3 linked regions of the Schizosaccharomyces pombe genome follow. Changing the gene in region 3 together with the main gene of any one other region gives a genetic interaction. Each region holds a gene or a part of one and is shown on either strand. Other genes may lie near its edges.

The links.
Region 1: of ura4 (region 3) and ura3, a mutation in one rescues a mutant of the other (synthetic rescue), as found in Schizosaccharomyces pombe (one study listed by BioGRID).
Region 2: of ura4 (region 3) and coq8, a mutation in one rescues a mutant of the other (synthetic rescue), as found in Schizosaccharomyces pombe (one study listed by BioGRID).

The regions. Positions count from the first base shown.
Region 1 is NC_003424.3:1,384,746-1,388,759, reverse strand, and holds ura3 (mitochondrial dihydroorotate dehydrogenase Ura3), read left to right. Parts: upstream 1-1,614; 5' UTR 1,615-1,918; coding exon 1,919-3,250; 3' UTR 3,251-3,403; downstream 3,404-4,014. Other genes in the region: ATP-dependent DNA replication ligase Cdc17, read right to left, coding at 1-123, 186-693, 734-816; disulfide relay system thiol oxidase subunit Mia40, read left to right, coding at 3,674-3,968. UniProt on the Schizosaccharomyces pombe protein: In the de novo pyrimidine biosynthesis pathway, catalyzes the stereospecific oxidation of (S)-dihydroorotate to orotate with reduction of flavin and the transfer of electrons to ubiquinone, which is part of the respiratory chain.
Region 2 is NC_003423.3:2,999,174-3,003,887, forward strand, and holds coq8 (ABC1 kinase family ubiquinone biosynthesis ATPase Coq8), read left to right. Parts: upstream 1-2,000; 5' UTR 2,001-2,187; coding exon 2,188-4,020; 3' UTR 4,021-4,103; downstream 4,104-4,714. Other genes in the region: SHREC complex intermodule linker subunit Clr1, read left to right, coding at 1-1,781; ribosome biogenesis protein Alb1, read right to left, coding at 4,213-4,364, 4,445-4,496, 4,551-4,664. UniProt on the Schizosaccharomyces pombe protein: Atypical kinase involved in the biosynthesis of coenzyme Q, also named ubiquinone, an essential lipid-soluble electron transporter for aerobic cellular respiration.
Region 3 is NC_003421.2:115,060-118,697, forward strand, and holds ura4 (orotidine 5'-phosphate decarboxylase Ura4), read right to left. Parts: upstream 1,567-3,638; 5' UTR 1,517-1,566; coding exon 722-1,516; 3' UTR 530-721; downstream 1-529. Other genes in the region: protein tam14, read left to right, coding at 1-57, 124-197; protein new25, read right to left, coding at 2,519-2,788; thioredoxin-related chaperone Pmp20, read right to left, coding at 3,364-3,638.

The sequences.
Region 1 (4,014 bases), on a different chromosome or scaffold from region 3:
ATCACCAACTTTGTGAAACGATAGTTTAATCTGTTGAAGCGTTTGCCCTGTAGACTCTCCAATAGCCTTCATTATAATGCTTTCGCCAATTCCTAGCTCTAGTCCCGAGTAATCTGGGCCCAACTAATGTAAAAAAAGACGTTAGTACTGAGAAGGAGAAATCCTTTAAAACCAAACGTTCATACCTTATTGATACTTAAATACACACAGGCCAGTAAATCGCTGGGATGGTCGCGAAGAATTCCAAAAAAGTAAGTCCCCATTATATCAATGATTTCCAACCGTTTGCTAGTATTCTCTATTTTTGTGAATGCTTTTACCATTTCAGCAAATGTTGCATGACCTTTTAACTTATCATTGCGAGCATTGGACTCTAACGGTGGTTCTTTGATTGGCAAAGGTATTGGAGTAGATGCCCCAGAATCGTTGTTACTAGATACGGCATCTGAAGAAGAGGAGGATGAACCTAAAGTCTTTTGCTTTTTTGCCTCAGACACAATATTATTTTCACGCTCAACATTTTGAGTTCCAGTGTCGTCGTGGTTGTTGTGTTTCGACTCGTCGACTAATTTCACTGATTCGACCTTTCTCTTTTCGCTTGTGCTTCTCCCATCAACATTTTTGGAATCAGAAGACGATTGAGAAACCTCCACGTGCTCGCTTTTGTGCGAAGCAGAAGAAATGAAGAAGTTGCTATATGGGTTAGTCAACGTCTGTCTTCTATCTAACAAACCTAATGTCTGACTGCCTTGTCGACATCCGTATGTACTGATTGACTTGTTTAAAACGAGGAATTTGCGAAAATACTGTTCGCATAACAATCAAGTCAACGAGTAAAGAATTTCATAAGATTTGACAATAGTGAGGGTACACCTGAAGAACAAGTAACACGTGTACGATATTTGTAGTTTAAGGACAGTGAAAACGAAACCATTTTTTTCTAAGTCTATATAGATGAAATTAATTTTTATGATTATAACAGGATAATATAAAAGCTATTTATCATTGATATAGTATGAGTGTTCCTTGTCTCATTCATAAATACTATTGACTTAATCAACTCTCTCCCAACGCTCTGTACATCATAAATACAGCTAGAAAAAATGAGAAGTTGAATTGTATAGAAATGCTTTAGTCATACCAGAAATGAACAATTGCCTGTATCAACGAACGTAATAGAAACAATTTGGAAATACATTGCTAGAAGTTTATCAACTAGATTCTAACCATTTAAAAAAAAAAGAAATTTAAATCAACAAAAATTAAAATAAATTCCTAATAGGCTTATTCGCTAATGTGTAGTGGTTTGTAGTTTTTTTGCAAAAAGCTGTTCGCACTTGTTTTTCAAGTGGATTTTGTCCTTAAATTTTTAAAATTTTTCTTTTTCAAATTTTTTATGAAATGTTAATTCGAAAGCAAAAACTATCATAAAATTGTTTATAACCATCGCTTTATTTACAAAACTCATAGTCAAATTTCGACAGCCCGGCATTACTAAAAAAACATGTTACCTGTTACAGGTAACATTCAATATAAACATTCAATTTTTGATTTTTGTTCTTTCTCAGAGAATATACCTCTGCTAGCACTTGGAGAAATTTTTTCGGTTCTGAAATCTTTGTTTTCGTTGAAATCTTATTAGAACCAAGTTCTCCATTTTATATAAATTAACACTTCTTGTCTCTAGGTGGATAAAGAAACGGATTGACGATTCTGTTCTGATCCTTAAATCCATATTTTTATTTTTTGGTTCTGTTTATTTTTTCTTGGGTTTGTTGTGTTTGGAAAAAAACTGGTGTTTAAATATATTAAGCATAAACTATTATAAAACTTCATTTTATTATTTTATCATTCATATTTTTTTCAATTTCGTTTTGAAAATTTTTTATTTAAGCCGAATTCTATTAAAAATACTAAAATGTATCAACGATCTTTGTTTCGCGGTGTCGCTCAGGGTTTAAAGCGCTCCTCTGTACGTTTTCAATCTACCAGCTCTGGCTCTTCAAATGGCAATTTCTTTCTCCGTCATTGGAAGCTTTTGAGTGTTATTGGTAGTTTTACTGCCGGCGTTGCCATTTACGACATGTCCGATGTTCGTAGTTTTATCCATGGCCGCATTGAAATGCCTCTCTTTCATGCTTTCACCACTCCTGAGTTTTCTCATCGTGTCGCCATTCTCGCTGCCTCTTGGGGTATAACACCGAAGGATCGTGTAGCTGATGATCCATCTCTTGCCGTTGAAGTTTGGGGTAAGAAATTTTGCAATCCCATTGGTCTAGCTGCTGGTTTCGATAAACAAGCCGATGCTATCTCAGGTTTGTTGAACTTCGGGTTTTCCTATCTTGAAATTGGCTCGGTCACACCTAAACCTCAACCTGGTAATCCTAAACCACGCTATTTCCGCCTTAAGCCTGATTTGTCTGTAATCAATCGTTACGGTTTTAATTCTATCGGCCATGATGCCATCCTTGCTAAGATTCAAAAGCGCGTTCGCAAATACATTGCTAAGACATCTCCTCAACTATTAAAACAGTTTGATGCAAATCCCGCTTCTTGCACTGATCCCGCTGTCCTTGGCGTACCTCGTAGTTTAATTCCTAACAAGTTCCTTGGTATCAATTTAGGCAAGAATAAGAACGGTAACGAGATTGAGGATTATGTTGAAGGTGTTCGTACCTTTGGTAACTTCGCTGACATTCTTGTCATTAACGTTTCCTCTCCTAATACCCCTGGTCTTCGTAACCTACAAAAGAAATCTGCCCTCTCAACTTTATTGACTGCTGTTGTCAGTGAGCGCAATAAATTGAACTCTCCTCATCCTCCCGTACTTGTAAAAATTGCACCTGATTTGAACGAAGAAGAACTCACGGACATTGCCGATGTCCTCAAAAAGTGCAAGATTGACGGTGTGATCGTTGGTAATACTACCGTTCAACGCCCTAAGACCCTCAAATCAACTAGCCATGTTGAAGAGACGGGTGGTCTTTCTGGACCTCCTCTCAAACCTATCGCATTAAATACTCTTCGCACACTTCGTAAGCATCTTTCTTCCGATATTCCCATCATCGGCTGTGGTGGTATTTCTTCTGGCAAAGATGCTATTGAGTATGCTCGTGCTGGTGCAACTATGGTTCAAGTTTATACTGCTTTGGGATATGATGGTCCTGTAATTGCTCACAAGATTAAGCAAGAGATTCTTGCCGAGCTTAAGGGCAAACGTTGGGTTGACATAATTGGCAAGGAAGAATAGATTGGGATGTCAGTATATTTCTTTTAAAGAAAAAATTCAGTGTCGTTTACTGGTACATTATTATAGTAAAAATTTAACATATTATAGAAAATAATACTCACGTTCTTCTAATTAAATATTATAAATGAATTACCTTTTGTTTTGCATACCTAAGTTTGCTTGTGAAACTATTATGTCGCTAGTTTAATTCTATTATGAAATTAGTCATTCAGGCATTTCTTAGTAATCTCGTAAATCCTGCCAGTCTTGCTTGTCTTACATTTGTGAATACCTATTTACTTAAATCTGATTTAAAAAACATGCAAACTTATATAAACTTAGAATGAATGACAAAGTTACGTTCTTGTAAGATCGTCGCCGCTTTCTGACCATTACGCAGACATTAGAAGTTCAGAGCTCAACTTCCCATAAATCAAAAAAACCATGTTTGCTAAAAACTTACTTTTCAGATTTCCAAAATGTATAAGGATTAACGGTTACAATAATATGAGAAGGTCTCTACTGCAGAGAAATGGATTTCAAGCAGGCATTTGTCGAAAATTTGGTACTGCAACCAAAACTGATGTATGGAAAGGCCGTTTTTTGCCTATTGTATCTGGCGTTGCAGCTGCTTCTTTGACTGCTGGATATTTACTTGGAAAAAACACTTCAAATGCATCATCGAGTCAAGATAATGACCATCCTGTTGTAGGCGAACATGTCCATACGGAAACACAATGTAAGTATCATATGTTTGAAATGGCTATCTTTTTCTGTACGATTAT
Region 2 (4,714 bases), on a different chromosome or scaffold from region 3:
AAATAGAAAATTCGAATGAAAAAGAATTATTGACTAGCACATTTTTAAGTCCTTCTGCAGAATCTCAGGTTTGTCTTGCAGAAATAAAAACCATACGTCCGGGATTGGTTCCTAAAAAGCAGTTTTCTGTGGATCAAAATAATGTAATAAGTGACAATACGGACTGTTCGCTTCCTAAACCATCTAACTCTAAGCTCTCCAGTATTAGTAGCGATGGGGATGCTTCTAGCAATCGAATGGCTGTACCCGATAAGTCTCCTTTTGTTCATGCTGCACCAAATTCTAAAGCATTGACGAAGGATAGTTTTTCTACTCACATTAGCGTTTCATCTCTTCTTCATAGTGACAACGAGATTTCTCCTATCGATTCAACTCGTAAAGATTACTTTACTTCAAAGGACAGCAATCTTCAGACTCTTAAAGAAGATGCGTCTTCAACAAAACAGGCTAAAGATTCTGGTACTAATGATTTTGACAAACTGATATCTGGCAATGATGTATCTAAAAACAATTCTGGCGAAGAACAAAGCAGAAGCGCATTGAAGCCACTAATTTCTGGGAAACTATCAAGTTGTGAGTCGATCAACTTAACCAAGGATATTTCAACTGTTAAGCGCAAAGAGTATTTTGGAATTGAATCGACGTCCTCAAAACAACCTTTCCATGATACTGGTTCAATTAAAATCCCAGCAAAAAGATCTTTTGATACCATTGATAAAGATTTTAGAAGTTCTAATATTCCATTTGCCGACAAAATTAAAGAGGACGGTGGAGATAAAAATGTGATTTCCTCAATTCATATTACAACTGAGCTTCCTAAATCAATGCCCGTTGAAGTACCTACTAATGCTGGTGCTCAAAGCGATCAAAGCAATGTCGTTGACTCCGAGTCTTTGAATTTGCGTGAGAATATTTCTACGAGCGTTGCTGACGTGAGCCTTAGTCAAGCAGGGAACGAAGCAGTGCTTAGTAAAAAGGCTTGTAAACCGCTTGTGTTAATTGACCCCTTTGAGGAGAAAGTACTTAAAGCCTTTAACATGTTGAGTAAAGGTTATGCTGAATACCGTTGTCAATGGGAGGGTTGTTTAGCCAATCTTCATTCGTTGGAAAATTTTATAAAACACGTTTTATTGTTACATCATCCGAAAAGTTGTTCTGTGGTTAAATGCCTATGGGCTTCGTGTGATATGGTTTTGCCATCAGAAGAGTTTGAAATGCATTTGCGCGGCCATTTGAACAACATCCGGCTTAATTGTGAAGTTTCTAACTGTAAAAAGTGCTTTTCTAATTATGAAGATATGTTCAAACATTTGCAGCATTCACATTTACCTTTCAAGTTCACACCAGAGTCTTTCATTAAAATTCGAAATGGCAATGTCAAAGAAGAAGCACGTCGTACAAGAAATGCTTACACACAGAAGTCTGGTGAAGTAGAATGTTTTATGGAAACTTGTACACCGATAGCTAAACCTGCTCCTGCGAATTGGTATCCGGTTCCTCCACCTGGTTTTAACTCATCTTTACTTTCCAGACTAACCCAAAGCAATCAGTCTAAAGATAAAATTATAGCTGCTTTAGCTAAGAGGAATGTTTATAAATCATTTGCGGGTTTGTACGATAGTAAAGGTAAAAATGATAATACTGGGTACGATTTTGATTCAAATTATGCCCGGGTTGGTCGTCATGGTTCTTTTATTTTACCTGTCAGCAAAAGTGTCCCTACTCCATCCTTGCTAATCGAAGGGTCTATTGTGCAACGTAAAAATATAAAAATAGAATGATCCGTCTTTGTACGTTACAAGCGTGATCTCAACAATTATTTTCTTAATTATGGTTTAATCCAACTGGCGTGAATCTCTCTGAACAAACATCTTATGTCTTTTATTTATATAGTTATTGTATGTAAAGTAAATATAAAAAATTATTGATTGTCCTTAATTTACTGTACACGCGTCCCTTCAAGTACATACATATGGTTCGATTGCTTAACTGAAGTAACCGCCGCTAGGAACCATCATAAACTTTTATCATTTTTGGATTCATAAAACCATTATAACAGTGGCTAGTTAATGAAAATAATCAAATGTCTGGTTTTTGAAATAAATAAATTCACTTGAAAGCCCTTCCATTCGAAATTGAAGCACTTTTTATTCCAAGGCTTATTTTTCTCTTATTTAATCAGAACAAATGGCTAATTCAGGGCTTTGGGAACTTATAACAATAGGATCCGCAGTTCGAAATGTTGCCAAATCATATTTAAAGGCTGAAGCTTCGTCAATTACAGCAAAACAACTGTATGATGCATCGAAAATAACCAGTTCGAAAAGGTCCACAAGTGACCTGCACGTTCAATTATTGGAGAAATACAGAAACGGTAAAGTCAAACATGCTTCCCAAATAAAAGAATTGGGGTTATCTTCTAAAGATACGAAACGAACGCTTTTGGGAAATTCTTTAGATGTTCAGAAAGATGCCTCCGGTGTCAAACATTTGCAGGAGCAATCTTCTAAAGAAATAAAAAATCCTATTTCGCAACCGATTTTACCAAATAAAAAAGATGAAATAAGTCCTGCTAAACCTTCAGCGATTGATTCTAGTATTAAAGACGTAACAAAATCACACCCTGCAACGAATGCCAATTTTACAGCAGACTTTGAATCCTCTATTGAAGAAAGCTACTCTACTGAGAATAAGTCTCCGGTTATACTTTCCTCTTCTAAAGTTCCTTCGTCCCAATGGAGTCGTCTATGGCATTACGGAGGCCTTGCAACTTCCTTGTCGGTTGGGGCTATAGGGGAGAAAATGAAGAGGATGTGGGGAATCAGCAAAGACGATGGAGCTTTGTTACTGAATGAAAGAAATGTAGAGATTTTGGTGAACAAACTGACTCAAATGCGTGGTGCTGCTTTAAAAATGGGTCAAATGCTTTCATTCCAGGATAGTAAGCTGATTGACCCACGTGTTTCTCAAATTTTGGAGCGTGTACGTGATGGAGCACATTCCATGCCAGAAAAGCAACTAGAGCAAGTTATGGTTAAAAACCTTGGAAAGAATTGGATGACTCACTATTCAGAATTTGACAGAAAGCCAATGGCGGCAGCTTCAATTGGACAAGTTCATCGAGCTCGTTTAGCATCTAATCACATGGAAGTTGTGGTGAAAGTTCAATATCCTGGGGTGATGTCTTCCATTGACTCGGATTTGAATAACCTAGCTTATTTGTTGAAAGCTTCTAGAATACTTCCTAAAGGATTGTTTTTAGAAAACAGTTTAGCAGCCGCAAGGAAAGAACTGAAATGGGAATGCGATTATGAAAGAGAGGCCGCTTTTGCTGAAAGGTTTGGATCGTTGCTCAAAAATGATTCTGATTTTAAAGTCCCAATGGTATTTCGAGAAGCATCTGGACCCAGCGTAATTACATTAGAGTACTTACATGGTATTGCTTTGGGAAAACAAAAATATTCACAAGCTACAAGGAACCATATAGGATATCTGCTGACGAAACAATGTCTAAGAGAGATATCTGAATACCATTTTATGCAAACCGACCCTAATTGGTCTAACTTCTTATATAACGGAAAAACAAAAAAAATTGAATTACTAGATTTTGGAGCATCAATTGAATATGATGAAAAGTTCATCAAGAAATATTGCCGACTTTTACTAGCGGCGGCTCATCGTAACCGAGAAAAGTGCAAAAAATTATCTGTTGAACTAGGATACTTAAATAATCATGAGTCTGCTCAAATGATAGATGCGCATATAAATTCAATTTTCACTCTTGCGGAGCCATTTGCATTTGATGCACCTGACGTCTACGACTTTGGCGATCAAACGATCACTGCGAGGGTTAAGCAGCAGATTCCTGTTATGCTTGATTTAAGACTTCAACCTCCTCCAGAAGAAACTTATTCATTACACCGTAGACTAAGCGGGCATTTCCTTTTGTGTGCCAAGCTTGGCGCCAAGGTGAGATGTAAGGAATTGTTTTCTGGAATGTTGAAACATTACGCTGATTAAATGTTTTTATATGAAAAAGCCATAGTACCATAGCAACTTGATGACTTAATACAATGATACAAATTTTTTTTTTCCAAAATAGATAACACATTGGTTGAAACCCTATATGTGTGGACCGTATATTTAAAACATATTGTATTAATATTATTATCAATCAACCCTAAAGACCCATAAAGCTTAATAAAAATAAGCTTATAATGCTGGAGGAGCACCCAAAATTGTTCCTTTACATGTTGGCTCAATGTTCATGAAATCCTTTTGTTTCCCGGCTTCGGTTTTTCCAAATAGATTTTCATTCAAAGACTTATCTTTGGAAATGTTTTTCTTGCTGGCATTATCAATCTCTATGTCCGTTTGTTAGATACATAATTGACGGTGGAAATGAAGCTTTCCTGTAAAACACACTATTAAAAAAATTTCTTACCCATTGCAATATCATCTAAATGGATCCCCTTTTCAGCAAGACGTTTCAGCGACTAAATTATTGGTTAGGTATTTCTTTAAAATGCTTAAAGGTGATTTAATCTTACATATTTTCCATTCCTTAATTGCTTCTTTATGGTTTTTTTACTCGCAACACGGCCATGAATAATGGCATTAGGAGCCTTTGAAGCAGACTTTCTTCTATCGTTTCTATGGGGCATTGTAAAAGTTGAATTCAACTTTCGTATATTTTTTGTATTAGTATACTGCA
Region 3 (3,638 bases):
CAAAAGAACGTTATGTTGCCAAACATCCTCCTACCAAGATTCCTCGTAACATTGCCAGTAAGTAAGAATTGATCCTATTGTTAGCAACTTTGGCTTGTGTTTCATACTGACAATGCATCTTAGTGTTTTTTATTCTTCTCATGTCAGGAGGAATTATTTTGGGAATACTTAGATTTCTTTTGACGTTTTTTTCTTAAGAACATGTGATTGGAGCAATTTTAAAACCTATTTGCACCGATATTGTGTATTATACTCCGAGAAAAAGTATACTAGTTTTGAATAATAAAGCTTGTGATATTGACGAAACTTTTTGACATCTAATTTATTCTGTTCCAACACCAATGTTTATAACCAAGTTTTATCTTGTTTGTCTACATGGTATTTTACATTCATCTACATACATCTTTCATTGGCTTTGTACATAGTTATCATTACAAGTCTAAAAAAATTCACTCTTTTCTTATTCAATGTCAATCCAAGAGAAAAGATTGTGGTAATGTTGTAGGAGCATGTTTAATAAATTACTATAGCAAATTACTTTTTATTCCCAAGGTGTTTATCTATAATAGTTAATATTTTAGTCGCTACATAAAATTTTACCAAAGAGTACTTGTATACTAATTCTAAATGCCTTCTGACATAAAACGCCTAGGAAAACAAACGCAAACAAGGCATCGACTTTTTCAATAACCAACCAAAAAAATTTTACATTAGTCTTTTTTTAATGCTGAGAAAGTCTTTGCTGATATGCCTTCCAACCAGCTTCTCTATATCTCTTGGCTTCGACAACAGGATTACGACCAGCTCCATAGACTCCACGACCAACAATGATGATATCGCTACCGCAGTTTACAATCACTTCTTCAGGAGTACGATATTGCTGTCCCAGCCCGTCTCCTTTAACATCCAAGCCGATACCAGGGGACATAGTTATGTAGTCGCTTTGAAGGTTAGGAAATCGACGACCAGCTATAAAGCCAAAGCAAAAATCGGTATGCTTCTCAAACCATTCTAAGGTTTTCTCTGTGTAGGAACCAGTAGCCAAAGAGCCTTTGGAAGACATTTCAGCCAAAAGCAAGAGACCACGTCCCAAAGGTAAACCAACTTCTTTGAGGCCTTGTATAATACCCTCGCCTGGCACTGTATGGCAATTTGTGATATGAGCCCAAGAAGCAATTTTGTACACACCAGATGCATATTGTAGCTTGACGGTATTTCCAATGTCTGCGAATTTGCGATCCTCAAAGATAAGAAAACGATGCTTTTTACCTAAGGCCACCAGTTTTTCTACCATATCCTGGTCGAAATCCTCGACAACGTCAATATGTGTCTTGATAACACAGACATAGGGTCCAATTTTATCTACCAATTCTAAGATTTCGGATTTCTTCGTCAAATCGACCGCGACTGACAAGTTGCTTTGCTTTTCTTCCATCAAAGCCAACAATTCCTTGGCAATGGGATTTTTCATCCCCTCAGCTCTAGCTGAATAGCTTTGAAATACTCTAGCATCCATAACTTTGCTTTTAAACCTTTAATTTCGATCCAAGCAAAAAAGAGGTTCTTGGTAGGACAATACGGTAAGAAAACACGACATGTGCAGAGATGCCGACGAAGCATAGTTAAACTGGGATGGTAAAATCAATTAAGAATTTATAAAGACAAAATTGTATAAGTCTCTAAAACATCTTAATTATACCTCACAGAACTATCTAAAATATATTCACAAAGTGCAAACATTATCATGAAAAAGAACCATTTTAATTTAAAGCAAGGGCATTAAGGCTTATTTACAGAATTTCTTACTTTTGTAAAGATTATAAGGCTGATTATCTTTTTCACCATGCCAAAAATTACACAAGATAGAATGGATGTTTGAAATTAAACGTGAGTATACAAACAAATACACTAGGTAAATCGAAACATTTTTTTCTCCATTAAGTAACAAATTCCTATTTAGAGAAAGAATGCTGAGTAGATTAAATAATCTATACAAACTTTTTTAACACAAATGCATACATATAGCCAGTGGGATTTGTAGCTAAGCTTCAGGAGTTTTATCCATTTAATGTATGGAATCAAAATTTAAAGCTTCTGTCAAAGTTTAACAATATTTCTTTTGGTTTAAATCAAATCTTCCATGCGATTAAGAAGATAGATGCTGAACAAAAGAAGCACATGGATAACCACAAAAGCAGTTTGCTCATGGGTACAACCATGAATTTTTTTTTCGACAATGATTCAAAGACCAGTATATCCAATACGCATCCTAGAATCTAGTCAAAGAAGAACCTAAAGTAGAGATGCAAATGCGCTAAAAAGAGTGGATATAAATTCAATATCATTTATAAAACAACTTCTTCCATTAAAAATTCCTTGGGCAAAACAAAAGTTCCAATCATAAAAAGTTAATAAGTTCTGAGTTGTGTCAAATCTGACATGGCATTCCTCAATAATGACACTCACTCATTATGTAAGCATCGAAAACATATTAAAATCTATACAAGCTGTTTTGTCATTACGGTCTGGCATCAACTTTTTTAGAGGCGGTACGAAGATGATTTTGCACACGGATAACCAATTCTTCATGAGATCCGCTAGTTTTAAGTGAATTTTTTTTACAATACTCAATTAACTGTTTTTTTGACCATTGACTAGGAGGACTTTGAGAAATGGAGGATGAAGCTGTCTCCCTGGAATTGTCTGTGATAGGACTAACTACAACCGCCAGGGAAGAAGCAGCAATAATTGCAGCAAACGATAAAGTTAAGACATTAGCTATTTTCATCGAAGATGAAATACAAATGAGTAAAAAGAACCCAAAAATGAAAACTGTTATTAAAAAGGAGATTTTGAAAATTTAAAGGTTGAGGTAAAGAACGGTTGTAGAAGACGAGCATCTAGAGGAAGACGCCCCCAACTGTGGCCAACGTTTTTCATTACCCAAATTCATCTGACATTGATTATGATACATTGAAGGTGTGCTTACATCTTTCTAGTCATTATTTTGATACCACCACTTAGAATATCCATTTCAACTTCTACCGATTTTCAATCGTGTTACGAAAACTTATTGTAATCGATTCAACGTTTTACTTGACATTAATTTTTTAAGCATATCTACTTTCTTATAAAGAATTGTACTAGTACTCAAACAATGAGTTGTTAAGATAATTGTGTATAAAATTTCATAAATCTAAACATATATCATCACAATGACAAAAAAAACTCAAATATGGAGTGCTTTATCTCCATCATTTCAAACGCCCTTAAATAAGGAGCTTATCTTTTTGATTCTAAGTTTCGTTCATTAAAGGAAAAAAACATTCCCATCAAAACAATTAGTACAACAGTTCATCAGATTTAAAGAGAGCTAAGGACCTTGTCAGCGGAGGAAATATCAACATCGGTGACCTCGTTCTCAATGAAAACCTTGACAACCTTGCCATTCTCGACAACAGCGGCATAACGCTTGGAGCGAAGAGGGCCCAAAAGACCGCTAGCGTCGAAGCCAGCATCAAAGGCCTTGGTAAACTCTCCGTTCCAGTCGGCGACAAAGTGAACACCACTTTGCTCACCACCGTCGAAAGACTTCTTCCAAGCCTTGGTGACGAAAACGTCATTTACGGCAACGACAT